Cricetulus griseus: one gene and its partners. The protein of the gene in region 4 interacts with the protein of the main gene of each other region in a pairwise test. Links are inferred from orthologs where the notes say so. Each region holds a gene or a part of one and is shown on either strand. Other genes may lie near its edges. The genes, in order: Flad1, Bag6, Trim54, Cdkn1a, Bccip and Spred1.

Region 1 (3,317 bases), about 190 Mb from region 4:
CCAAGAGAGAAGGGCAGGGCCTGGGCTAGGGGTTGCATTGGTGGCTTCATGTGGACAGCAGTTCAGTGGAAGGGTGTGGATGCTGCCTTTGGGGCCTTTTATCTACTGTCCCCACCCCACCAGGCCTCATGACTAAAGACAAAGGCTCTAGGGTCTAGCAAAAGAAGGTTCTGGGCCTTGGAACAGGCTGAGTCAGCCCTATAGACAGGGGTGCTGGTGGTTAGAAGGGAGGGCGTGGCCACTCCATCTTTCACCCTCTACAGCCAAGAGAGCTTAACTTCCCTTCAAAGCAGAAGTTCTGTCTGGTTGCCTCCTCCCGTTTGGTGGCTCTGGCTAAGGCTGACAGAGAGCATCCCTAGTTCCCTGTCTAGTATGTTCTAGCCCATCCCTGGGCCCCCGAGTGAGCGCTGCTGGCTCAGAGCTGGCAGCCTTGGTCCACTTCTGCTTCCCTTGACCTTAAAGCAGGAAGGCATGGCCAGAGCAACAGGCACCAACAATGGTGTGTGAGGTACAGTTTACTGACGTGACAGGTTACACCCCATGCCAGCCCCGTCCCTCAGTCTTGTCCAGAGTGTGTGAGATCATGTGCGGGAGTTCCTTTCCTCATCTTCATTCTCCAGTAGGTATGCTGGACGGTAGACAGGGTGTCCTCCTGGGCTCAGGCACTTCAGGGCTGGGTTCTGCATCGTGTTCTCCCGACTCCCCAGTGATGTGTACCTGGAGGGTTGAAACAGGAGCATGTAAATGATAGCTGGGCTCTCGTTATCCCTCCTTATATCTCCAGCATCCTCTCACCCCACCTCCCCCCACACACACACACCAACCTTACCCTCGGTCATATAGTATACAGTAGGGGACAAACAGCTGACGAAGAAAATCCCAGATGTTTCTGTAGGTCCAGTCCTGGGAAATGACAATCAGTCACTAGAAGTCTCCTCACCACACCCACCACTGCCATCCTGGGGATAGACCCATCAGAGGTACTTTTGTTCCCCTGGCCTTGGGGAAGGCTTGCTGCTATCTGGATGGCTGCTGTACCTTGCCCTGTGTGGGCTAAATAGAGAGGTAGGGAAAGTCCTTACCCCTGTCAGCTTCCACTCCCCAGCCACTGCCCCTGTGGTAGAAGCTTCAGGAGGATGGGGAATGACCGACTATGTGTTTAAGTCTAGAGCTTTCTGCCATGGTGGAAGTGTCTATCCCCATGGGCATTTGAAATGTGGCTAGTATAACTTAAGAAGTGACTTTTAGGGCTGGAGAAATGGCTTAGGGATTAAAAGCACTGATTGTTCTTCCAGAGGACCCAGGTTCAATTCCTAGCATCCACATGGCAGCTCACAACCATATGTAACTCTAGTTCCAGGGACTCTGACATCCTCTTTTAACTTCCTCAAGCACCTGGTGTGCACATGGTACTCAAACATACATTCAGGCAAAACACCCATACGCATAAACTATTTGTTTAAAAAGTGTTTTGTTTTTTTTTTTCTTTCCTTTCCTCCTGGCAGAGTCTTACTATGTAGCTAGCTCATGCAGTTCTCAAGATGGCCATCCTCCTGCCTTATCTCTCCACCTGCTGGGAGCTGAGGTATTCACCACTAGGTATGTCTTACACATCTTAGGCTCTTTCTATACAGCTGGGAATGACCTTGAACTTCTGTTCCTCCTGCCACTCCCAAGTCCCCAGTGATATGCACCTAGATTGGTGAAACAGGGCAAGTGGGGAATGGGCAGGCTTGTGTAAGTATGGTGCTACAGACTGAACCCAGGACTCTGTGTATCCAGGGGAGCACACTACCAACTGAGCTCCACACTGCTTTTATGTGGTACTGGGGATTGAACCTAGAACTTTGTACAAGCTAGGCAAGTACTCTACCAACTGAGCTCTTCCCCAGCCCTATTAACTTATTTTTAAATTTTATTTAAGTAAAAAAAAAAGACATTATGAATCACATGCCATAAATTTCACCCTTTGAAAGTAAATAGTCCAGGGCTTTTGTTTTCTTTAGACAGGATTTCACCCAGGCTGGCCTAGAAGACACTGTGTAGGCCAGGCTGGGTTTGAAGTCACATAACCCTTTTTCCTCAGCCTCTTAGTCTTAATCATTAGTATCTTTTTCTTTTCTATTTTTGAAACAGAGTCTGATATGCCTAGTCTGGTCTCAAATTCACAATGTAGTCAAGGCTTACCTTGAACCTTAAAAAAATTGTATGTATTTGTGTGAGTGTCTTTGTGTACTCGCCCACACAGGGAATGTGTGAGGTCAAAGGGCAAGCTGTGGGAGTCAGTTCTTTTCTTCTACCATCTGTGTCCTGGAGATCAAAGTGAGGTCATCTTTGATCAGATTTGGCAGCAAGTGCCTTTAATGTCGGAGCCATCTTGCCAGCTCTGGCCTTGAACTTGTAACTCTCCTGAGGCTGGAATCACAGGCATGAGCCACTGTTCATGATTTTCAGGTGTGCTGGGCGAGCACTGTATCAAATGAGCTACATCCTCAGCCCCATGATCTATATTTCCTTTCTTTCTTTTAAATAATTTATTTTATGTGCATTGGTGCTTTGCCTGCATGTATGTGTGAGGGTGTCAGATCTAGGAGTTGTCATATGAGTGCTGGGAACTGAATCTGGGTTCTCTGGAAGAGCAGTCAGTGCTCTTAACCTCTGAGCCACCTCTCCAGCCCTATATTTCACTTCAATTTCAATTCAAGTATGAACACATGACTACTATCATATTGGTGTGAGGGTGTCAGATCCCCTGGAACTGGAGTTACAGATAGCTGTGAGCTGCCATGTGGGTGTTAGGAATTTAACCCGGGTTCTGGGGATGAGCAGCCAGTGCACTTAACCACTGAGTCGTGTCTCCAGCCTGACTGCTATCATAGGTCCAGGTCACTGTTTTGACCACAGTGAAAAGCACAATGCCTGTCACTGAATTAGTGCTCAATATTGGTTAAAAGGATGAATGAACAAATAGCACTGCCTCCCTTGAGAGACAGAGCCTCTGGGCTCTAGCCTCCTCCCAGTGGGCAAGGGGAAGGTACAGGGAACTGAGGCAGACGATTCTGTTGCATTACCAGCAGCGGGTTGATGCGCATGAATGAAGGCCAGCCAGGGTCGGTGGGACTGAAATGGCTAAGGCTACAGGAGTAGGGGTCAGTCCGACGGGTGCCCATTAGGACAGCCTCCAGCTGAGGGTGCTTTTCCTGAAGCTCACCCAGGGCCTGCTTCATGTTGCCCTCAGCTTCTAATACCTGCAGATTATACCTTAGGGAGGAAGAGAACAGAGATGAGCATCAGGGCAAGTTCTGCCCAGACCCTCG
Region 2 (4,205 bases), about 26 Mb from region 4:
CCTGTCTCGAAAAACAAAACAAAACAAAACAAAAACAAAAACAAAAATGAATAAAGTCTTAAAAACATTTTTTTTGAAGCCAGGTGGTGGTGAACATCTTTAATCTTAGCAGACTCTGTGAATTCTAGGCCAGACTGCTATACAGATTGAGTTCCAGGATAGCAAGAGGTACACAGAGAAACCTGGGGGGATGACACACCTGATACACCCTCAAACAACCATTTCCACCAATGGCAAGTAATACTGGGTTGGGATCCAGGGTCTGGGAAGATAACTAATGAAGAAGTAAGAAGGGAGCCCAGGAGGTTTCCTAGAGTTCAGGGGTAGGTACTTTGTGCTAGGTCCAGGGTTCAACACCAGTAGGAACATCCCCCCCCCAATAAGGGGAGGAGGGAAAATGAAGAACCCAAACAAACCAACGTGGTAGCACACACCTGAGACCCCCAAATTTGGGAAGCAGAGACAGGAGGATGACGAATCCAAAAGACAATCAGTTCTAAGACACTTAAAACCCTACCTCAGCCAGGCAATGGTGGAGCACGCCTTTAACCCCAGCACTCGGGAGGCAGAGGCAGGCGGATCTCTGAATTTGAAGTCAGCCTGGTCTACAGATAAAGCTCCAGGACAGAGAGGGCTACACAGAGAAACCCTATTGGGGAAAAACTAAACAAAACAACCTAAAACAAGTCAGGTATGCTACACCTAAAATCCTAGCACAGAGGATGGAAGTCAGAAGGTCAAAGCCAGCCTGAGCTCTATGAGGTATTGCTGTCCCTACCACCCCCAAAAAGAATCTTCCAAATTAGACAGTAACTCTTGGTAAGGGCCATCAGACACCTACTCACGAAAGTGTACCCGGTGTTCCCAATGTTTTATAAAACCACGAAAGTGACCCGTTCATGATTTGTTCCCGAAAAGATTTATGCAGTAAAGACAAAGATAACTGTGCCCACACTGCACCCTGTAAGCTCGGGAGGTTCAAACCACCCCTCAAGATATTGGCAATCCTCCTGAACAGAGCACAAAAGCAGGCTCCCGGGATCTATAAATACAGTGTTAAGGCCGAGAACAAGTTGTTCAAAGACAGAGCAAACACAGCACACTTGTCTGAGGCCCCGGTGCTGCTTCCGGTCCCCCAGGCCGGAATCATCCGTGTCCCTGTGGGCAGAGGTCCGCCCAGGCCAGGTACAGATTCCTCCGCGGCATTTCCCTCTCCACCGAGCTCCACCGAGGTGAAGGCGGGCGGAACAAAACCTGCCTCACTCAACGGTAACCACACCTCCTCACTCAACAGGAACATCAGAGGTTCTACCGAGGGAGGGACAAAGGAGTCGGTGACAAGACAAGCAGGCTCGCCCCTCGGAAGGCACACGAGCGAAGCGGGCACACACACCGCCGCCTCTCCCCCCGCCTCACCTGGGCCCCCACAATGAACGTCCGAGTCTGAGAGTCCAGGGTCTTCACCAGGACCTCCAGGCTGTCGGGCTCCTCCATAGCGGTCCTGGCACTATCGCTCGGCTCCATGGCCGACAGCTCTCTACGGAGAGACGAGGGAGGGAGGGGGTGGTTCGCCGCCGCCCGCTCGCTCGCCCGCTCGCCCGTCAGTCCGTCCGCCCGCCCGCCCCGCCTTCTACACACCCGGAAGAGCGTCCGGGCCCGGCCTCCGCCCCGATCCCTCTCAAAGTTTCTCATACACAAACACATCCACTCGTCCTCGCCCTCATCGCCCCCTCCTCGGCCCCGAGGCCCGGGAGGAGAAACACAAAGGGCAGGAGGGGGACGGCACCGGGAGGCGAAGGGCGAGCGGTGGGAGGGGCTCCACGGTGCCAATCACGGTCGGGAGAGCCAGTTGGGCTACGAGCCGGGCAAGCAAGCACGAGACCGACCGGACACCAGTTGTCATCACCGGTCGCGACCCAGCAAGCGCCCGAGAGAGCGGGAGAGCCGAGGACAACGCGAGGGGGGGGCGGGGGGAGGGTCGGGTCGCGCCGCGCCGCGCCGCGCTCGGCGGACAAAGTGGCTCCGCGCACGCGCGCCACGGCGATCGAACCCGCCTCAAGCACCACAGGCGCCGGGGACGCGGACACTCACGGGAGCCCGACCGGCTCGCTGGCCGCCCGTCCTTCCGCCTCCGCCTCCGCCGGCGTTGCAGCAGCAGCGCGCGCGGCCCGACACGCGGCCCCTCACATACAGACACACGGACACACAGACACACGCACACACACGCACGCACGCACGCACGCACACACACACACGGCGAGGCGCGGCGCAGCGCCCCGCGGCTCCGCCCCCCCCGCCGGCTCCCCGCCGTACCGTCACTTCCGGCCTCCCCCAAGCGGGCACCACAGGCCACTTCCGTTTCCCCGATCGTATTTGGGGCTCTCGAGGCGGTACTTCCGGCTCCCCCAGGCTCCCCCCAATCTGCTTCTGCGGGGCACGACGAGGAAGTCCGCAGCCCCAGACAGTGAGTTCCCAGGGGCCGAGACGGGCCGGGGCCGGCCTAGATGGGAGGGAGCCGACCACCCCGAGGAGCCGCCGCCGCCGCCGCCGCCGTCGCCCGGGGGACCGCACTGCGCCTGCGTGAGCCGCGCGGCGCGTGCGCACACCGCAGCCCCGCCCCCCGCCCCGCCCCGCCCCGCCTCGCCTCGGGCTGCGTGCGTTTCTCCGCCGCCCCCCGCCCCCACCCCCACGGCGCGCGCCCCGCAAGCGCCGCACGGCCGAGGTGGCCGCCGTAACGCCTGAAGGAAACCCTCGCTGAGCGGGATGCCGCCCCTACCCGGAGAGACGCTGTGGACGCCCGTGGGGGACTCGTGGGGCTGTTGCACGCCGTGCGCCTGCGTCCGCGTTGGGCGGGCAGAGGAAACGCACGGGCACAGCCCTAGCCACCTAAGCCCCGGCAGGGCCTCTGGTCCTCCCGCACTGCCTGCGCTCCCGGAAGCCGCTCCCCCCCGCCCCCCGCCGCCCGACGGTTGGACGTTCCGTGGGCCGTGTGCGCTCGCACCCGAGCCGGACCGGGCGGCTGCGCGCCTCGCAGACTGTGGCGTGTGCTGAGGGTCGTTGGTTGGTCGAGGGCGCCCGAGGGAGCGCCATGGTTCAAGACCACCGAGCGTTTCGCCGCTGGTGGAAGCGGGGCCGGCGCGCGCCTGTGACCCCGGCCCCCGGAGGCCGGCCTGGGCTACGCCGGGAAGCGCTAGCGCTCTGGAAAAGACAAGACCAAGCAAACCCCCAGCGCGCGTGCCCGGGCCACAGGGTTAAAGGGCGAGAGAAGGGGTTGGGGGTTCCCCGCTCATCCCCGCCGGCAGTGAGCACTGTTTAGTGAGCAGTGGTTGCTTTGTCCCAGCCTGAATGCTGAGGCTTTCACCGTGTTCCCCTGAAGTGCCTGGAACTCCTCACGCCCCACAGCCCCACAGCTCCACGCCACTGCCCGGGGCTGGCATTAAAGTCGCCCTGTGGCACCCGGCCAGACGTCATTTATTTATTTTTCTGAAACGCGGTTCTCACTATGTAGATCTGGCTGTCCCGGAACTCAGGGATCCACCCACCTCTGTCCTAAAAACATTTTTTTGGAGGGGGAAGGGGGGGCGGCGGGCTATGTGCCTTGCATCTACCACAGCAGCCTAAGTGTGGAGAAACATACCGGAGTCCCCTTCCCACTGTGGGGACCTGGGGATCAAAGCCAGGTCCTCAGGCTTGGCTTGGTATCAAGCACCCTAAACCCACCTTTTAGTGTGTCCTCATAAAATTGGAAGGGCTGGAGTGGGAGGGCACTTGCCCGGCAAGCCCAAGGCCTTGGGTTTGATCCCTTGCTCCCACACACAAGCCTGAGCATCACTCCAATAGAACGGTCATGCCTATCACCGCCCACGTTTTTGTGATTGCTTTGTAGCAAGATAGTAAGTACCAAGGGTGGCCTGAATGGCAGTCGGACTCTGGCCAGCGTGAGTGTGTCCAGCATGGATCTGGCGATCCTTACCCTTCTCTTACTCCCTCTCCCCTGCTCAAAACTGTTAGGTTACATTCCTGAAGATAGTCACCATTGTAGGGATATATTTGTGACTTATTAAAGCTTGCCTGAGGATTCAGGAAGCAAACCCTTTTTGGCCACTACCTCTCCCTGAGGCTGACTACCAAGATCAGCTATCAAAGTATTGAAGTCCAGCAACCGAAAGCCCCCTTTGGCTCACCTAATTAACATGCCCAACTAA
Region 3 (4,032 bases), on a different chromosome or scaffold from region 4:
CAAGAAAGCCTGCTATGCCAAGGAACCTAAAAGGCTATGTTCTCAGTGAAGTTAAGACCCACTTGTGTCAAGACTGGAGAGACAGCCTGGCCATTTGGAACACATGCTGCTCTTTCAGAGCATCAGAGTTTGGTTCCCAGCTGCCACATCACAAACACTGCAGCTCCAGCTCCAGGGGATCTGACACCCTTTTCTGGCTTCTGTGCGCACACACACACACACATACACACACACACTAATAAGAAATATTTTTTTAAAAATAGCTTGTGCTGGGGCTGGAGAGATGGCTCAGAGGTTAGGAGTACTGGCTGCTCTTCCAGAGGTCCTGAGTTCAATTCCCAGCAACCACATGGTGGCTCACAGCCATCTATAATGAAATCTGGTTCCCTCTTCTGGTGTGTGTATACATAATAAATCTTTAAAAAAATAGCTTGTGTTGGGGCTTGTGGTGTAGAGCAATGGTAGAATGCATGTTTAACACACACAATGCCCTGGATTAACCATAGCACCAAAGAGAGGAGGGAAAAAGGTGTGAAAATGTCTGCTCAACTCATTCCCTCATAGTCTGTGAAAAGCAGGAATAATCTTTTTGAGATTTATTTTATGTGTATGTATTTTGCCTGCATGCATAATGCCCATGAGGGGAGGGTTCAGAAGGGAGCATCAGGTCCCCTGGAACTGGAGTTAGACAGTTGTAAGCTATCATGTGGATGCTGGGAACGGAAACTGAGTTGTTTGGGAGAGCAACAAGAGTTCTTAACCACTGAGCCATCTCTCCAGCCCTACCACTTTTTTATTTAATTTTTGAGACTTGGTCTTACTATACATAGCCAGTGGATATACTGGTATAATTGTTCCATAGACCAGGCTAGCCTCTAGTTTGTGGTGGTTACATAGACCAAGCTACCTTCTATTTGTGGTGGTTATGTAGACCAGGCTAGCCACTAGTTTGTGGGGGTTACATAGACCAGACTAGTCTCTAGTTTGTGGTGGTTACATACACCAGGCTAGCCTCTAGTTTGTGGGAGTTATGTATAACAGGCTAGTCTCTAGTTGTGGTGGTCCTCTTAGGTGTTTCAACCACAGGCATGTGTCACACAGCCTGGCTCCTGGCTGGAATCTTATTCCTGATGCTTCTGTCACAGATTTGCACCAAGCCACCCGGATCTTGCAGTTTTTACTTCATCTGCAAGGTCTCATGTCTGTACACGTGAGTCCTGTCCCTTCGCTCTCCCTGACCTCTGATCTAGTTTACAGCCTACTGGAACCTCTATGAATGATACAGGGTAGGAAAGCAAGCCTATGAATTTATAAAGAATTATGATGTATGCATTTATTTAGTTGGTTAGACAGGGTCTCACATAGCCCAAGCTGGCCTTAAACTCATTCTCCGGCTGCCACCTCCCAAGGGCTGGGATTGCAGCCATGCATCACCATGCCCAGCTTTTTTGTTTTTATTTTTGAAATGTGTGGACAGAATGATATCAGTGACTTAACTTAGCTATGCCCGGCCTCATGACCACAGCTACACAGGCATTTCTGGGAAGTACAATTCTGCTTCTGCCTTCTCTCTGTCCATAAATCACCTGAGTATCAGTTGGTCCATGGGCCTCTTCACCAGGTCAGGAGGGCTCACAGGTGTGAAACTGGGGAAAACTTCTGCTTCCCTGGCCCACTGTGTCTAAGCAGCTCCCTCATGGAGAGAGGAGCTCTATCTCAAATATACACAGCTCGGCTGGCATCATAGGCTTTCTCACTGGTTTGTCACAAATTTTTAATTCTAGGGTTTAATTTTATGTTTTGGGGATCAAGTTCAGGTTGTCAGCTTTGGTAGCAAGTGTCTTCACTGTCTTGCTGGCTCTATTATTTTTTTAATACCTCATATTTCATTGATCTCATCTATGGTGTGTAAAGAAAGTAAATAAATAAAACCACAAAGCCTCAAAGTAAATGAAATCTAGTAAGGCTCCCACAAAGTCCAGGCAAGACCACCCTCCTTGCCAGTTTCTGCCAGTCTCCCTGGGGTCCTCCTTCTGACGCTGTGCACACAGGCTGTGCTTGCCAGGCTCTGGGCAACTGCTGACTCGTGCTTCCTCTGGGATCCCACAGCCTCCAACTCTCCTGCCACTGAGTTGGGGCAGCGTCACCATCTCCCGCCTGTGGGACCTGCCACCCAGTCCCTTCCTAGACCTGACCCAGCTGTCCCCAAGCCCACCTGGAAGACGTCATTGGCACACTTGCGGCACAGGTTGTGCTGGCAGGGCAGGATCACCACGGGCTTGGAGAACATCTCCAGGCAGATGGGGCAGATGAGCTGCTTCTCCAGGTTGTCCATGTTGTGTGCATCCCCTAGCAGCGGCTTGAAACCCACGGTGAAGTTCATCCCTTGGCGCTCTAGTGCCTGCCTTGGCCCTGTTTCTGGCCTTCTCTCGCTGCCTGTGCACACTTCTTGTAAACTTTAGGCTGTCTGTGGATTCTTAGGATCCCTGATCTTGCTCCCTCTTGAAAGGGTGATGTTTCCTGTTTCTCTCCCTCTAACGGCCCCTCTCACCCTGGCTATTTCCAGACGCTTCTGTCTGCACTCCCTGTTCAGAGCCGTCTCCACAAACTTGTCCCTTTAGCTCCCCCTGAGAAATTCTCTTGCTCCCCCAAACCACCCTCGTGCTCACTCTACAGGCAGTACTCTTTGTCCCTTGCTCGCTAGAGAGGTTAATATTACTGTGGGGGTAGGGAGACAAGGGGCATTTGTGTGACATTCCAGTTCCCAATTTAGCTCATGTAAGGCGAGCCACAGCTGTCCCGGACTGAGTGACCCTGACTCACTCAGCTGGTGGCTTTCTTGAGCAAGAAGAGCAGCAGGGGTGTCACTGCTTTCAGTGGGTGGTGGGTCAGTGTGGGGCTCACTTGTCACTGGGAAGGTTCCTGCAACCTCTGCTCTCCGTGTTCTGGCTTGAGACCTTCTTCCTAACAGAAACTAGCACATGGGAGAGACAGCACACATGGCTCAGGGTGGGAAGGATGGTCTGGACGGATCTACAGACTTCTGTCTCTCCCTTTTATACTGAGCATTGATCCTGACCCTCCTCCTGGAGACTCAGGATTCAGAAGTGGAACTCCAGACCCTACAAAAGAGAACTTCTTGTCCCATATGTCTGGTCCATATTTGTTCTTGTTCAGCCTTAAAAAAACAACTACATTTATTTACTTTAGGGAGGGGTAGGTATGACATGGAGCATATGTGGAGGTCACAGGTCACTGACAGGAGTCACTTCTTTTTCTTCAGTGTGGGGGTTACAGAAATCAAACTGAGGTCATCAGAATTGGTGACCAATGCCTTTACCTATTGAGCAATCTAGCCACAAACTTCCCTCTCCCTTATTAAAGACAGGCTCTCAGTAGATTAGGTTAACCTTGAATTCACTGTCATCAAGGATGACCTTGAACTCCTGATCCTCTTGACTCTACATCCAAAGTGCTAGGATTAGGGGAGAACACCATTATTCCCAGTTTACGAGGTTCTGGGCGTCAACTCGGGGTCTTTTGTGTACTAGAGAAGCACTGTGCTTACTGAACTACATCGCCCTTGGATGGCCAGTTATATCATCCTAGGAGAGCAGCTGAAGAGGCAAGAGATGGCTGCTGTGCCAGCCCAGGCCTGCCTTATGATCAGGGCATGAGAGTGTGTGATTCTGGTCTACCACTGAAGCCATTTCAGGGACGCTAAATTTGCTTAGAATCTGAGACAGTAGTGGACTGGAGATGTCTCAATGGTTAAGACAGTCTCATGAGGAGTGGAGTTCAGATCCCCAACACTCACAACCACCCTTTACCACAACTCCGAGTGACTCAGCGCCCTCTTCTGGCTTCCACAGGCATGCACAGACAGATGTGCAGACCCATTTACACAGACACACACATGCAGACACACACACACACACACACACACACACACACACACACACACACACACACATATAAAAAAGGAAAAGTGTGAGAACAGATGTGGCTGGAAACATTCCGAATGCTGCAGTT
Region 4 (4,018 bases):
AGAAAAAAAATCAACTTCTTTTTTCTTTCTTGTATATTGTATGTATGTGTTCATCTGTGTAGGTAAGGGTGCGTATGTATACGTGTGGTGTGTCACACCAGAAAATCCAACCCTGCTTGTCATTCCTCAGATGTTGTCCGCTCTGCCATGTGTTTCTCCTGTGTCTGTTTGAGACAGAGTCTCTCTATGTAGCCCAGCTATCCTAGGACTCACTCTGTAGACCAGGCTGGCCTCAAACTCATGAAGATCTACCTGCCTCTGCCTCCCAAGTGCTGGGATTAAAGGTATGTGCCACTGTGCCTGGCTTCAGCTTGTGCTTCTTAAAAAATATGTATGCACATGTTATACTTTATTTATTTTGTGTGAGTGAGTGTGTGTGCACATGCATGTGGGTGCATGTGTTTCATGGGGCCCCGGGGATGTCAGAGAAATCAGTCTTCTCCTACCAGGTGGGCCCGGGGATGGAACTCAGTCGGGTTTGATGGCAAATGCCTTTACCTGCTGTGCTGGCCAGTTCCTGCCTCTGCTTCCTGAGTGCTGAGGTTAAAAGTGAGCACCACTACACTGGGCCCTCGCTATGTCCTTCTTCATCCTTGCTTGTTGTGATGTAAGAATCAAACCCACACCAATGGGTTTTAATGTGGTTTGTTAGGTAAAAACACAAATTTAAATGCAGCTCAATCATTTTTGTTTTTAAAATATCTAATTATAGACTGAAGATGTAGCTCAGTCAATAGAGTTTGTCTAGCATGTACAAAGCCCTGGGACCCATGCCAACACTGTATAAACTGGGTGTGGCAGCACACACCTGTCATCCAGCACCAGGAGATTGAAGCAGGAGGTTCAGAAGTTCAAGGTCTTGGGGCTAGATTGCTTAGCAGTTAAGAGTATATAGTGGTCTTGCAGAGGACCCAGAATCTACATTTGGTAGCTCACAGCCACCTGGAACTCTAGATCCAGGGGATCTGATGCCCCCTTCTGGCTTCCTCAGGCACTTGCACTCACATGCACAAACCTCACACTCATATACACATAACTATAAACTAAATCTTTAAAAGAAAGAGGGAGCTGGAGAGATGGCTCAGAGGTTAAAAGCAACGACTGTTCTTCCAGAGGTTCTGAGTTCAATTCCCAGCAACCACATGGTGGCTCACAACATTCCGTTATGAGATCTGGTGTCCTCTTCTGGTGTGCAGATATACATGGAAGCAGAATGTTGTATACATAATAAATAAAATCTTTTTTAAAAAGAAAGAAGTTTAAAGTCATCCTCAGTTATAAATTGAATTGGATGACATCCTGAGCTACATGAGATCCTGTTTCAACAAAACAAACAGCCTTCAAGATACCCCTCCCTCAAGCTCAACTTTCTGGATGGTCCCCAAGAGAGGACTTGGCATTCTTTACTATTTCTGTTCTTTGTTAAAGCCCGTCCCAAGACAAGCCCCAGCATACACCATCAAAGTGCTAAGGATTTGGGGTTCGGAGCCTCTGATTGCACAGTGGGGCAATGGCCTCAGAAGTTCAGAACCATGGCCCCCCCTCCACCCAGCACAGGTAGGCAGATGACAGGAAACAAGGCCCTGGGAGCTGCTAGCTTTGGCTGGAATGACTCTGGCAGGGGTCAGGGTGAGTCCGGGTCTTTACTGTGGCCCCTTCCATCAGCTGCTCATCTTTGTCTTTGCCCTAAGGTGTCTCTGGGTTCCTCTGGGGTTATATTGGCACCAGAACCACCCCGGAATGTAGCAGCAGCTCCTCTAAGCCCCAGTGACAGTGGCCGCACTATGGTTGCAGAGCCAGGAGTCACCAGTGTGATGTCCTCTGTTGATCTTCTGTGGCTTCTTAGAGACCTGCACTTGTAGAGAGGGGACCATGTGTCCTCCTGGAAACATTTGAGAGCTTAGGAGAGGGCTGAGGAAGAGCTGGCAGGGTGGGTGGGGCATGGAGGGGGCATGAAGGGGACATGGAGCGAGGCCTGGCACTGTGAAACAGACAGACTATGAAATGTGACAAGGGTGTGCTTGGGGCACACACCTATAACCCCAGGCAGGAAGATCATGTCTTTGAGACCAGCTTAGGCCACATAAGATCTGTTTAAACTGAACCAAGTGTGGCAACACACCCCTGATATTCAGGGGAAGAAGCAGGAGGACTGCCATAAGTTTGAGGCCCACTCATTCTACGTGAGACCAACTGAAACTAAGATAGAACAGAGCCAGTTACTTCACTGAGGTAAAGATTTGAGGGAGAAGGAGATCATCTCTCACACTCGTGAATCCAGGAAAGGTGTTCTAGGTGGCCGGTGCTCTCCATGCAGTGAGTCAGAGGTCCAGGCCCTTTCTGTCCTATAGCTTCCCAATCTTGAGGGCCTGGAGGTCTATTCCCTGGGCTGGAGGAAGGAGAAGGCTCTAAAGAGGATGTGTGCACTTTGTCAACTGGCTCAGGAGTACTCAAATTGCCTTCTCTAGACCAGACCATAGATGGGAAGCTGACAGATGGCCGTGTATGGCTGCAGAGGTCTCTGTAGTCCCTGGCTGGGGACACAGTTGATGTGACTTACTTCTTGCGGAGTCTCTATGAGCAGATGGGATGTCCTCCTGCCTAGGAAGTCATCCTAGGCTTTTCCCGCTGAGGCACAGACCGAGAGAACACTGCAGAGGCGCCTAGGAAATGGGTTCTCACATATGTGGACCATCCAGCACCACAAGAAATGAAACCATGAGGTCCACACAGGGACAAAGGAACAGTGCACACTGCCTCCACACACAGCAGGACCCCACTTCCTCCTTCTGGTACACAGCTTTCAAAGGAAAGGAAAAAAAAAAAAAAAAAAAAAAAAAACAGCATCAAAGCCGAAGGAGTTACCGGCCCACATGCAGGAAATCCCTTATTTGGCAAATCTCCTGAATCCCCTGGGGACCTAGGAGACAGCTTGCTAGGAAGCCCCCCAGAATTTCTTATAGGGGGTGCATTGTGCTCAGCCTAGATCTGGAAGGGTGGGGGTTCACTCCCTGAGACCTCAAGAAAGGTCCAATCTCCCTCTCTGTATTTCAACTGGCTGGAAATGGCTCCATCAGCCGCCCATCCTCCCTAACCTAGGGTTTCTGAACAGAGGGGAAGAGGGTGGAAAGGGACTTGCCTTTGGGAGAATACTCACGTTGTCAGGCCGGAGTCTGAAGCAGGGGGATGGAAGGTTCAAGGCCTGTAGAGTGAATTCAGGGTCAACCTGAGGTTTCAGTAAATGAAACTTCATGCAAAGAGCAAAACCAAAGAATTAGGGGATGAAGCTTGGTGGTCGAGCCCCTGCCTAGCATGCCAGGGATCAATGCCCATGGACTGAAGCAAAGAGAAAAGGAGAAGAACAAAACAAAACCCTCAGGGCTTAGGAAAAAAACAGCTGCCTGTGGCCTGCTCTCTCTGTCTCCCTCCTTCCCTCTCTCTCTCTACCCCCTTTCTGCTCTCCCTGTCTCTCCTCTCTGCTCTCTCCTTCTCTCTGCTCTCTCCTTCTCTCTGCTCTCTCCCCATCTCTGTTCTCTCCCTTTTCTCTGCTCTCTCCCTTTCTCTGCTCTCTCCCTGTTCTTTTCTCTCCCTCTCTCTGCTTGCCCCCTCTCTCTCCCTCTCCCTCTCCCTCTCCCTCTCTCTCTCTTTCTCCCTCTCTCTCTCTCTCTCTCTCTCTCTCTCTCTCTCTCTCTCTCTGCTCCTGTTTCACTCATGGACAAGTCCAGTCCACTGGCCATGTTCCCTCTACTACTCTCTCTCTCTGCTCCGGTCTCTTCCAGATGCCTCTGACTTTTCTCTCCTCATAACTACATTAAAAAAAATACCTCCCCTTAGCCATACCATAGAGCAGACACACCATCAGTTTATACGCCACCAAGCCTAAGGACCTGAGTTTGGCTCCCAAAACCCACACACATGAAGAAGGAGAAAAACAACCCCTGAAAGTTGTTCTCTGACCTCCACATGAGAACCTGGCATGTGTGCCTGCATATACATTCATGGCCATGACAAAAAGAAA
Region 5 (4,050 bases), on a different chromosome or scaffold from region 4:
AACCCAAGTAGAGGTCTGGATTTAGGAAGTAGCCATTTTAAGTTACTCTATCAGAGGTGTAATCCTGGTGTCATTACTGTCCACGATATAGACTGGTACATAAGAAGCTCCCGGGACACCTAGATCTCACCGTCATGGGAACTCTGGGTTAATGGGGGCCTTGGTGTCCTGACTGATGAAGAATCATTGGGGCTATTCACATTCCCTAAATTTCTCTGGCAAAGGCTTCCTTACTTCTAGGGGCAGCTCACTCTGGTTTCGGAATTAAACACACCTCATATGCTGCCGTAATTTTAAAGAAAAAAAAAAAGGGAGGGGGAGAATCACAGAGCCTCTTGTCAGGAAGTTAATGTTTTCTCTAGTTAATGATCTTTCTCAATAACCTTTACAAGGAGCTTCAAGTCAGCAGACTGTAGGATAAACCTGACTGGTAGAAGGTTCTAACCTTCAGGATGCTCCTTGCAAAAATCTGGCTTCTCTTAAAATCTGAAACTTTGGACCAGTACTTCATTTATCCACAAGTAGTGGCAGAGGCGGGGTAACACTCGCTAACTTGCCGCAATCCCTTTCTTTCGGTTCTATTCTTTTCAAGCAAGTCTTTTAACGACACTGTGGTCCCATGTGGTCGTCTTGTCTACTGAGAACTTTGTTAGGGAGATGGCATGGGCCCGGCCCCTGCCAGGATCAGCCGGCCTTCTGGCGCGGACTCCGGGAGCGCCGGTCAGCCCCTCTTTGCACGGGAGTCACGGATCGCTAGGGCCTGCGTGCAAGTCCACAGACCTGTGCCCTAGTCGGGTCCTGAGCCCGACACCTACCTCGCGGGCTCAGAAGCAGGACCGACCTGCACGCCGCGGGGCAAGAATCTCGCGGTCCCTGTCGGGGCTGCTGAGCACAGACAACCGGGAGCCGCCCCTCACCCGGCAGCTAGCGGTCCCCGGGCTCGTACCTCAGGCGCGTGGGCCGCCCGTACACATCTGGCTGTGCACGCGCACAGGCATCTAGGCGCCGGCGGAAGGAACGCAGGATGGGCCCAACCACTGCGCACACAGGAAAGACCCGGAGAGAATGAGGACGGCAGGAGGATGGAGGGAAGAAGAGAGGGTCACACCATGACCCCGCGGTGAAGATAAATCTGTCACATTAGTTCTGCGGGACTCATCCAGGGCTCTGTCTGGGTCGCGCCGACTCCGCGGCGAACTTTTTGAGCCTGTTTACCCCTAGGCCAACGATAGACCGGAAGGACAGGGGCGGGATTTGCGCAGGCGCAGTGTGGCCGGCAGCATGGCATCCAAAGCTAAGAAGCGAGCGTTGGGAAACGGGGTTCAGCGGCCTCTGGGACAGCAGGACCAGCGCGAGGAGGAAGAAGAGGATGAGGTGGAGGGTGAGGAAGAAGACGATGAAGACAGTGACGAGGAAGAGGATGAAGACGAGATCGTGGACGAGGTGAGGCACATGTGACCATATTTTTGGGAGAAAACAAAATTCAGGCAACCGAAGCTGTGGTAAAGTGATAGTCGCTGTGGTTCAGGAGTTGAACCTTACGTGGTACATTCTTACCCAGGTTCTCACCTCAGGCTTTTCTACACATAACTCCTTGAAGCCCTGCCCGGGTGAATTACATCCCCCAGAAGCCGGCCAATCCCACACACACTTACTTCAGTGGCCCAAGTCTTTACTGGCCCAGCGTACCGACGAAGTTTCTTCTCTCCTCTCCCTGCTACACTGGCTTGCTCACTCTGGCCCTTTGCAGTTTCGTAAAGGCTACCTGCATTGTCCTACACTCTTCAAACGCTCTTCATCCTGCATAGTTTCCCCTTCGTTATGTCTGTCTGTCTGTCTGTCTGTCTAATCACAGCTAGACCGTATTTCCTGCCTCCCTGGGACAGCCAACGTGGTCAGATTTGGTTTTGTGGTCTCACAGAACTGATGTCCTTTCTTAGTACCTACTTTCCGGTGGTTGAAGCCCTTCTTTCTAGGTGAATGATTAGGATTCAAACAGTGTTCAAGACAATTGCTGTCTAGGGACTTCAGACTTGACGGTCCAAAGCAGGGTTTATAATAGTTCCCCAGTTTGCCGGTGTTATGCCTCCTATCTCACCCCTCACCCAGTCCATCAGTAAATTCTATTAGCTTTTTCCTTCAGTATCCAGGCACATATTGATCCTGCTACTATTCTAGTTCACACTTCCATCATCTCTTGTCTGGTTACTATAAAGGTTTTCCTTTTTTTTTTTTTTTTTTTTAGATGAAATTAAGACTGGGATAGCCACAGCGAAATTACCTGTAACTTTATTTTGTTGTTTTTGAAGTGCTGCGAATCAAACCCAGTATACTGTGCATGGTAGGCAAGCACTTTACCATTGAGTCATACTTCCAGCCATCTATAGTAGCTTTTCACTGTCATGCCTTTCCATTTTTGTCCTTCTACTGTCTGTACTCCATTTACTGCCAGAGAGATCTGGCTGGTCTATTCTACTCTCCCTCATTGAATGCTCTAATGGCTTCCTATTTCCTTTGTAGAAAAATCCTAAATCCTGTTTTTGAAAGACAGGGGGATGGGGTGGGGGTGGGGTAGAATATGGATTCAGCCAGGATGGCTGGCTCAGAACAGGCAAGAGAGAATGAGTGAAAATGGTCATTGACGTGAATGTGCAAGGGAGGAGGAGTTGAACTGTAGTGCGGCTTTGGGAATGAGGCTATGATGTGGATATGTAGCTTGTCTACCCTTCCAAGTCATTGCTTTGCTTTGTCTATCTTGCTTTGAACACCATCTCAACATTTTCACTTAGAAAAATGTTTACCAGCTGTTTTGCTACCTTAGGGTTTTAGAAGTCAGCACTTCTTTCATTAACATGGGAAAATCTTAACAGATTGCCAGTGACTAAAAATGTGTGTACTGTAATTATAAAATGTGGGGAGAGGGAACCACAGATGAGAGATTTCCTCAATCACGTTGGCCTGTGTGCTTGTCTGTGGGCATCTGCTTAATTAATTGATATGGGAGAGTTCAGTGCACTGTGAGTGATGCCACCCCTGGTCCTGGGTGGTATAAACAAGCCAGTAAACAGTGGTCTCTGTGGTTTGCTTCAGTCAGTTCTGGCCCTGAGTTCCTGTCCTGACTTCCCTCCACAAGGAAGAATTACCTGGAAGTGTAAGATAAAAGAAACCCTTTCCCTCCCAAGTTGCTTTTGGTCATGCTGTTTTTCACAGCAACAGAAAGAATGCCATCATTGATAATAGTGTAGCAATATAAGCACTTACATGCTCTGTTAGTGGAAGCATAAATCTGTGCAACTTCTTTGGAGGGTAATTTGACAGAATTTATCAAAATTTAAAGTACATATAACTCCTGACTCAGTAACTTGTAGGAATTTACCCTCTAGAAATTGACAGTGATAATAACAATAACTATATATACCCCCAGGCTCTGTGCATTTTGTATTAGCTCATTTAATTCTCATATCAGCACCATAAACTTAGGAATTGTCACTATTTTACAAGTTAGCCCACACAGCAAGTTAAGGCAAAATGTGTATATATAGTTATGTAGAGGAAAAAAGAAACAAAGGTGGGGTGGGGGGGATCCATCAGCTTCTGTGTTTGTTGTTTGACAGTACCGTGAAGAGAAGAGGAAATCCTTGGTGGGTATTTCTTCCTTCATTTAATTGAAGAAGGCTTTCATTTTCTGATACATTTATTCACCCACAATTAATTTCTCTGATGTAAAAGTCCATGAAAATTATCCTGGAAGATCAGAATCAATCTCAAACCTTTTAAAAAACAATGGTCTATCAAGAATAAAGGAATGTGTATAGCTCAGGTCCTGCAGAGGTAGCTTTTTCTCTTGGATTCTGTTGCTAGCTGCTTACCAAAGTGGTTAGAGGACTGGGGGACATATGCCTTCTTTTTTTTTTGGGGGGGGGCGGTTCGGGACAGGGTTTCTCTGTGGCTTTGAAGCCTATCCTGGAACTTGCTCTGTAGATCAGGCTGGCCTCGAACTCACAGAGATCCCCTGCCTCTGCCTCCCTGAGTGCTGGGATTAAAGGTGTG
Region 6 (4,079 bases), on a different chromosome or scaffold from region 4:
AAGTGTGGGTGCTTCATCCTATTCTCATTCATTTCCTCATTTGTCACTGTTAAAACAAAGCCTTTTAGATAATACATCTACTAATTCTTGATTAGATATACAATCACCTCAGTTAGCTATTTCTCTACTAAAAAAAAATCTAAATTCAAATGGTTTTCAGAATGAGTATTCTAAAAGGCCTTATTATATTTCAGTACAACAGCTATCCATTAATTTTTAAAAGTTAACAGTCTTCAAGAAATTAGTAATTTTTCGCCTTCTTTAAAAGGCTAAAAACAAAGAAAAATGAAGCAATAAAATGCTAAGAACAATTTCTACTGTAATTAAATCCCTTTGAAAAAGGGAAAAAATAATACAAGGCCATTTTAAACTATACCTAGAACCATGAGTGCCCTACTGTATCTTTCACTCCTTCATAACGTATGATTTTAAGTAATTTTTGAATTTCCATTTTCAAAACTTCACCTCCTACGATAAAGATGAGATCTACAAATGACCAGATTAAAATTGACATTCTAAGAAATCCACTTTGTGGTTGAGCTAAGGCACAAGTAAACAATGTAAGCTCTAGCAGCAATGACTACCAGGTGAACACAACCATTTTCTAACGTTAATTAAAAAAAAAAAAATGCCCTAGGAAGAACCTTTCAGAGGATAATACATCCTAACATAGACGACTCCTTTCCTGGGGAACAATGTATTAATAAGGCAGGATATATTTGTGAAAACAATTTTAAAAATCTGGATGAATTATTTCCAAAGTGTTCTGTTTCAAAGCATCAATACCTTGAGGGTTAAAAACATCGGAAATATTTTTGTTTCATTTAGTGCAACAAAGGTTCCATCCACTGAGATCTCTCTCACACTTACTTGCACTTTCAATTTGCCATAATACCAAAAAAAAAGGCCCGTTTTGAAACAATCTATCATATGTCTGCATTAGTACACACCCCATCATTTGTTCCTCAGCCGCATCAAGGAAATAATACTTTCTAAACTATTAAACTGGTAAGAAATCTTTCCCCATCTCTAAAATAGGTAAGATTTTATCCCAGCTGCTTTCCTCCAAGATACTAATTAAAGTCCCCGACAATCCCTTCAGCATTTCCGCAGTTTTTCTCCTAACCCAGCACCATCTGAGACAGGCTTCTAGATCTAGCTCAAAATAGGTCTAGTCTGCGGAAGGCAGTGACAGTGTACTGCACTGTGAATGGACAGCCAGGTATTTTATGAATGGAGGCGATCACGTGATCCCAGCACCTCCCCGAACTGATATTTCCCACATAACTGTGTCAACATTCTGAGAACTGGGGTAGTTGTTTGTGTGTGCGTATGTTCTAAAATTTAATCTAAAACTTCTAATTCTCCTCACTTCCCGAACTCAAAAATCTACATAAAGACAAACAAGCTTCGAATGTTTTTCTTAGGAAACCCTTTCAAGTTGTCCAAGGTGATGGATGTTTAATTATTTTTTTTATGAATGAAGTGTGCTATGCAAATGAGGGCGATTCACAAAAAAGAGAGAACATGGCGGCCACTTCTGCTTCTAGACTGCACTGACTGCAGCAATCCACCTCCTTCCACGCCCTCTCCCTCAGTGTGTGCTTTTCAAAGAGGGGGGGACGCTGCCTGGTATTTTTCTAGCTATTTTATGCTAAGCGGGCTTCGGCACTGGCCCTTAAAGCCTTCTCGAAGAGGTCTGACTTGAGGAATGTACTTTATTTAAAGGAATGCATCCTCATTTAACTCTTCATAACCCTCCAGAAACAAACAAAACTTGAACTCAATCACAAGAAAACGGACGCCAATATTCTGCCTCAAATTAACTCCCTTCTCAACAGGAAAATCTTACAGCACCATTCTTCCTCCAAGCGGCTGCTATATTTAAAAGGCACAGTGCTTCGTTTGGAAAACATAAGGACAGCCCAAATAAGCAAAAAACTTAAAGTCGCGGAATGCTCTAGATGAAACTGACAAAGTCACCAACGCGTTCGGCAATGTAAACGGTGCTTTATCACAGACGAAAGCCAGACACTAGCATTCAAAATTCCTAATTGTTCTGTTCTTAATGAGGACGAGTTCAATATTCGCCAAGGTCTAAAACAAAACAATAGCTCAACATCGCCCACACTCCAGGTGTTCTTAATCCTATTTAATTCTTAAAATGTTTCCCTAACCCTATTTTTTTTTTTTTACCAGACCAGTATAGGTCATAAGTTTAAAAAGTGGGACAGGGGGCGAAGGCTTAATCGGCAGCATTTAAGAGTCACTGAGTCATCGAATTAGGATTCGAGAGCAGTTTGCGGCAGGAGGTGCACCCACACATTAGTTTCCGAGCGAAATAGATGTAAAGGGAGATGGCTGGATGTTCAAGGTGCTGGGGGGGGGGGGGATGCAGGAGTGAAGGGCAGGCAAAGGGTAGTTTCTACTCCACTTTGAGCCACCCACATTACTCCGTCTCGGAGACGTCCGATTGCTACACCGCCTCTGCTCCGCACTCGATAGCCTTCCCCAAGCAGGGAGGCGATTGCAAAGATGGAAAGGGGTGCTGCCATGAAAGAACACAACCCGACGACACATCGGGCATCTATCACCTCCCGGGCGGGACGGGCTGGGGGGGAGGGGGCTGCCCACCAGGGCTCGCTTACTCGTTGTCAGAAGTCGCCGTCTCCTCGCTCATCTTTCCCTCACCGTGATCCGCTCAGGAGATGAAGGAGCAATAGCAGGCGGGGAAGCAGCGGCAGCGGCGGCACCGAGGGACGGCGGGCCGGCGGCGGCGGCGGCCGGCGGGGCGCGCGGGCAGCGGCTCGGGGGCCTCACCATGGTGGACGCCTCACCCGGAGCGGCGCCCCGCGAGCCGGGCAGCCCGGCCACCCCCGCAGGGGGGCGGCGGCAGTGAGCGCGGCCGTGGCGACCCCAGCGGTTCGCTGTGCCGAGGCCGGGTGCGACGCCGAGACGGCGCGGGCGGCTGCAGGCGCTGGAAGGGACGCGGCCGGCGGCTGAGGCGGTGCAGCTCTCAGGGCGCGCCGACTGGAGGGCGGCGGCGGGGGCGGGGGGCAGCCGAGCGCTGGCTGCGGGCGGCGGCGCGGTCCGCCGAGGTGCCGCGCACCATCTCCCGCCTGGCCGCCGGCTGCCCGCGCGGCGCGCCGACCCGGTCGGCCCTCAGGGGCTCCCTCAGACGCGCTCCAGCTGGGGGCCGCAGGCAGGGCGCGAAGTGGCCGTCCGAGCCCGAGGGCACAGTTCCGAGCGGCGGCGAGGAGGGCCGAGACCAGCGCAGCTCCGCGGGCCCGCTCCTCACGCCCGCGAGAGGGGAGCCGCGAGGGGGGCGGCGGAAGCTCTCACGCCGCCCGCTCCTTCCGCCGCGCGAACCGGGGGCGCCCGCGGGAGAGGCAGGCGAAGTAGTCCCTCGCGACTTCTGGGGCGCGCGGGAGCAGGCGGGCGGGCGAGCGGACGGACGTGGGGCGCGGCTGCGAGCGGGCAGCGCGGGGCCTCTGGGAGGTGGGGGAAGACCTAAAAGCCACGGCCCGCAGGCGAATCACTGCAGCTCGAGATCGTGGGCAGCATAACAAGTTTCCGAAAAGTAGTTCCCTCCTCCCCTCGCTTCCCAAATCGTCGGGCAGCGGGAGCGGGGCGAGGAGGGCGGCGGAGGGATATACCGCTGCACCGCGCGCGTGTGCGTGCGCGCGCTCCAAACTCTTGGCACGCCGCGAAAGGGGGCGGGGGGTGGGATCTGTGAGCAGAGCTGCTCCGGGACTGGCATTGTTGCGACGCGCAACTCCCCGTTACTCAGCCTGGAATGTCCAGGTTGTCTCTACAAACAGGCTGCACATCCACCGTGTGTTCGAGGAAGAAATCAGAAGGCCGCTCCGTTCTGCTCGGTGCGCGTGCACGCGCGCGCGTGTGTTGTGTTTTCCTTGCAAAGAATGGAACTGGCTTGAGTTCATCTCTAGTTAGTGGGGGTTACAGGGCAGGACTGCAAAGCGAGCTCCTCCTGCTGTCCCTCTAGTTGCATTGCTGTAGTCCCCTAGCTGCTTGCACAGGGGAGTGAGGAGAGAAAGTGTGTGTGTGTGTGTGTAGAA

Evidence for each region.
Region 1: the proteins of Cdkn1a (region 4) and Flad1 interact in a two-hybrid assay, tested with the Homo sapiens proteins (2 studies listed by BioGRID and IntAct). The link is inferred for Cricetulus griseus from reciprocal best matches to the Homo sapiens genes CDKN1A and FLAD1.
Region 2: the proteins of Cdkn1a (region 4) and Bag6 interact in a two-hybrid assay, tested with the Homo sapiens proteins (2 studies listed by BioGRID and IntAct). The link is inferred for Cricetulus griseus from reciprocal best matches to the Homo sapiens genes CDKN1A and BAG6.
Region 3: the proteins of Cdkn1a (region 4) and Trim54 interact in binary tests that used the Homo sapiens proteins (3 or more experiments, as listed by UniProt). The two-hybrid records come from large-scale screens. The link is inferred for Cricetulus griseus from reciprocal best matches to the Homo sapiens genes CDKN1A and TRIM54.
Region 5: the proteins of Cdkn1a (region 4) and Bccip interact in a two-hybrid assay, tested with the Homo sapiens proteins (2 studies listed by BioGRID, with this or other methods). The link is inferred for Cricetulus griseus from reciprocal best matches to the Homo sapiens genes CDKN1A and BCCIP.
Region 6: the proteins of Cdkn1a (region 4) and Spred1 interact in binary tests that used the Homo sapiens proteins (3 or more experiments, as listed by UniProt). The link is inferred for Cricetulus griseus from reciprocal best matches to the Homo sapiens genes CDKN1A and SPRED1.

The regions. Positions count from the first base shown.
Region 1 is NW_023276806.1:65,142,621-65,145,937, reverse strand, and holds the end of Flad1 (FAD synthase), read right to left. Parts: intron 3,262-3,317; coding exon 3,072-3,261; exon of another isoform or gene 1,506-3,071; intron 904-1,505; coding exon 830-903; intron 718-829; coding exon 582-717; 3' UTR 501-581; downstream 1-500. Other genes in the region: Lenep (lens epithelial cell protein LEP503), read right to left, coding at 1-50. UniProt on the Homo sapiens protein: Catalyzes the adenylation of flavin mononucleotide (FMN) to form flavin adenine dinucleotide (FAD) coenzyme.
Region 2 is NW_023276806.1:231,657,285-231,661,489, reverse strand, and holds the start of Bag6 (large proline-rich protein BAG6), read right to left. Parts: upstream 2,801-4,205; 5' UTR 2,777-2,800; intron 2,573-2,776; exon of another isoform or gene 2,314-2,572; intron 2,283-2,313; exon of another isoform or gene 2,092-2,282; intron 1,781-2,091; exon of another isoform or gene 1,639-1,780; intron 1,538-1,638; 5' UTR 1,525-1,537; coding exon 1,417-1,524; intron 1-1,416. UniProt on the Homo sapiens protein: ATP-independent molecular chaperone preventing the aggregation of misfolded and hydrophobic patches-containing proteins.
Region 3 is NC_048600.1:13,268,719-13,272,750, forward strand, and holds the start of Trim54 (tripartite motif-containing protein 54), read right to left. Parts: upstream 2,801-4,032; 5' UTR 2,384-2,800; coding exon 2,216-2,383; intron 1-2,215. UniProt on the Homo sapiens protein: May bind and stabilize microtubules during myotubes formation.
Region 4 is NW_023276806.1:257,585,731-257,589,748, reverse strand, and holds the start of Cdkn1a (cyclin-dependent kinase inhibitor 1), read right to left. Parts: upstream 2,801-4,018; 5' UTR 2,561-2,800; intron 1-2,560. UniProt on the Homo sapiens protein: Plays an important role in controlling cell cycle progression and DNA damage-induced G2 arrest. Involved in p53/TP53 mediated inhibition of cellular proliferation in response to DNA damage.
Region 5 is NC_048596.1:67,160,233-67,164,282, reverse strand, and holds the start of Bccip (BRCA2 and CDKN1A-interacting protein), read left to right. Parts: upstream 1-1,250; 5' UTR 1,251-1,281; coding exon 1,282-1,443; intron 1,444-4,050. UniProt on the Homo sapiens protein: During interphase, required for microtubule organizing and anchoring activities. During mitosis, required for the organization and stabilization of the spindle pole.
Region 6 is NC_048599.1:61,431,556-61,435,634, forward strand, and holds the start of Spred1 (sprouty-related, EVH1 domain-containing protein 1), read right to left. Parts: upstream 2,801-4,079; 5' UTR 2,681-2,800; coding exon 2,649-2,680; intron 1-2,648. UniProt on the Homo sapiens protein: Tyrosine kinase substrate that inhibits growth-factor-mediated activation of MAP kinase. Negatively regulates hematopoiesis of bone marrow.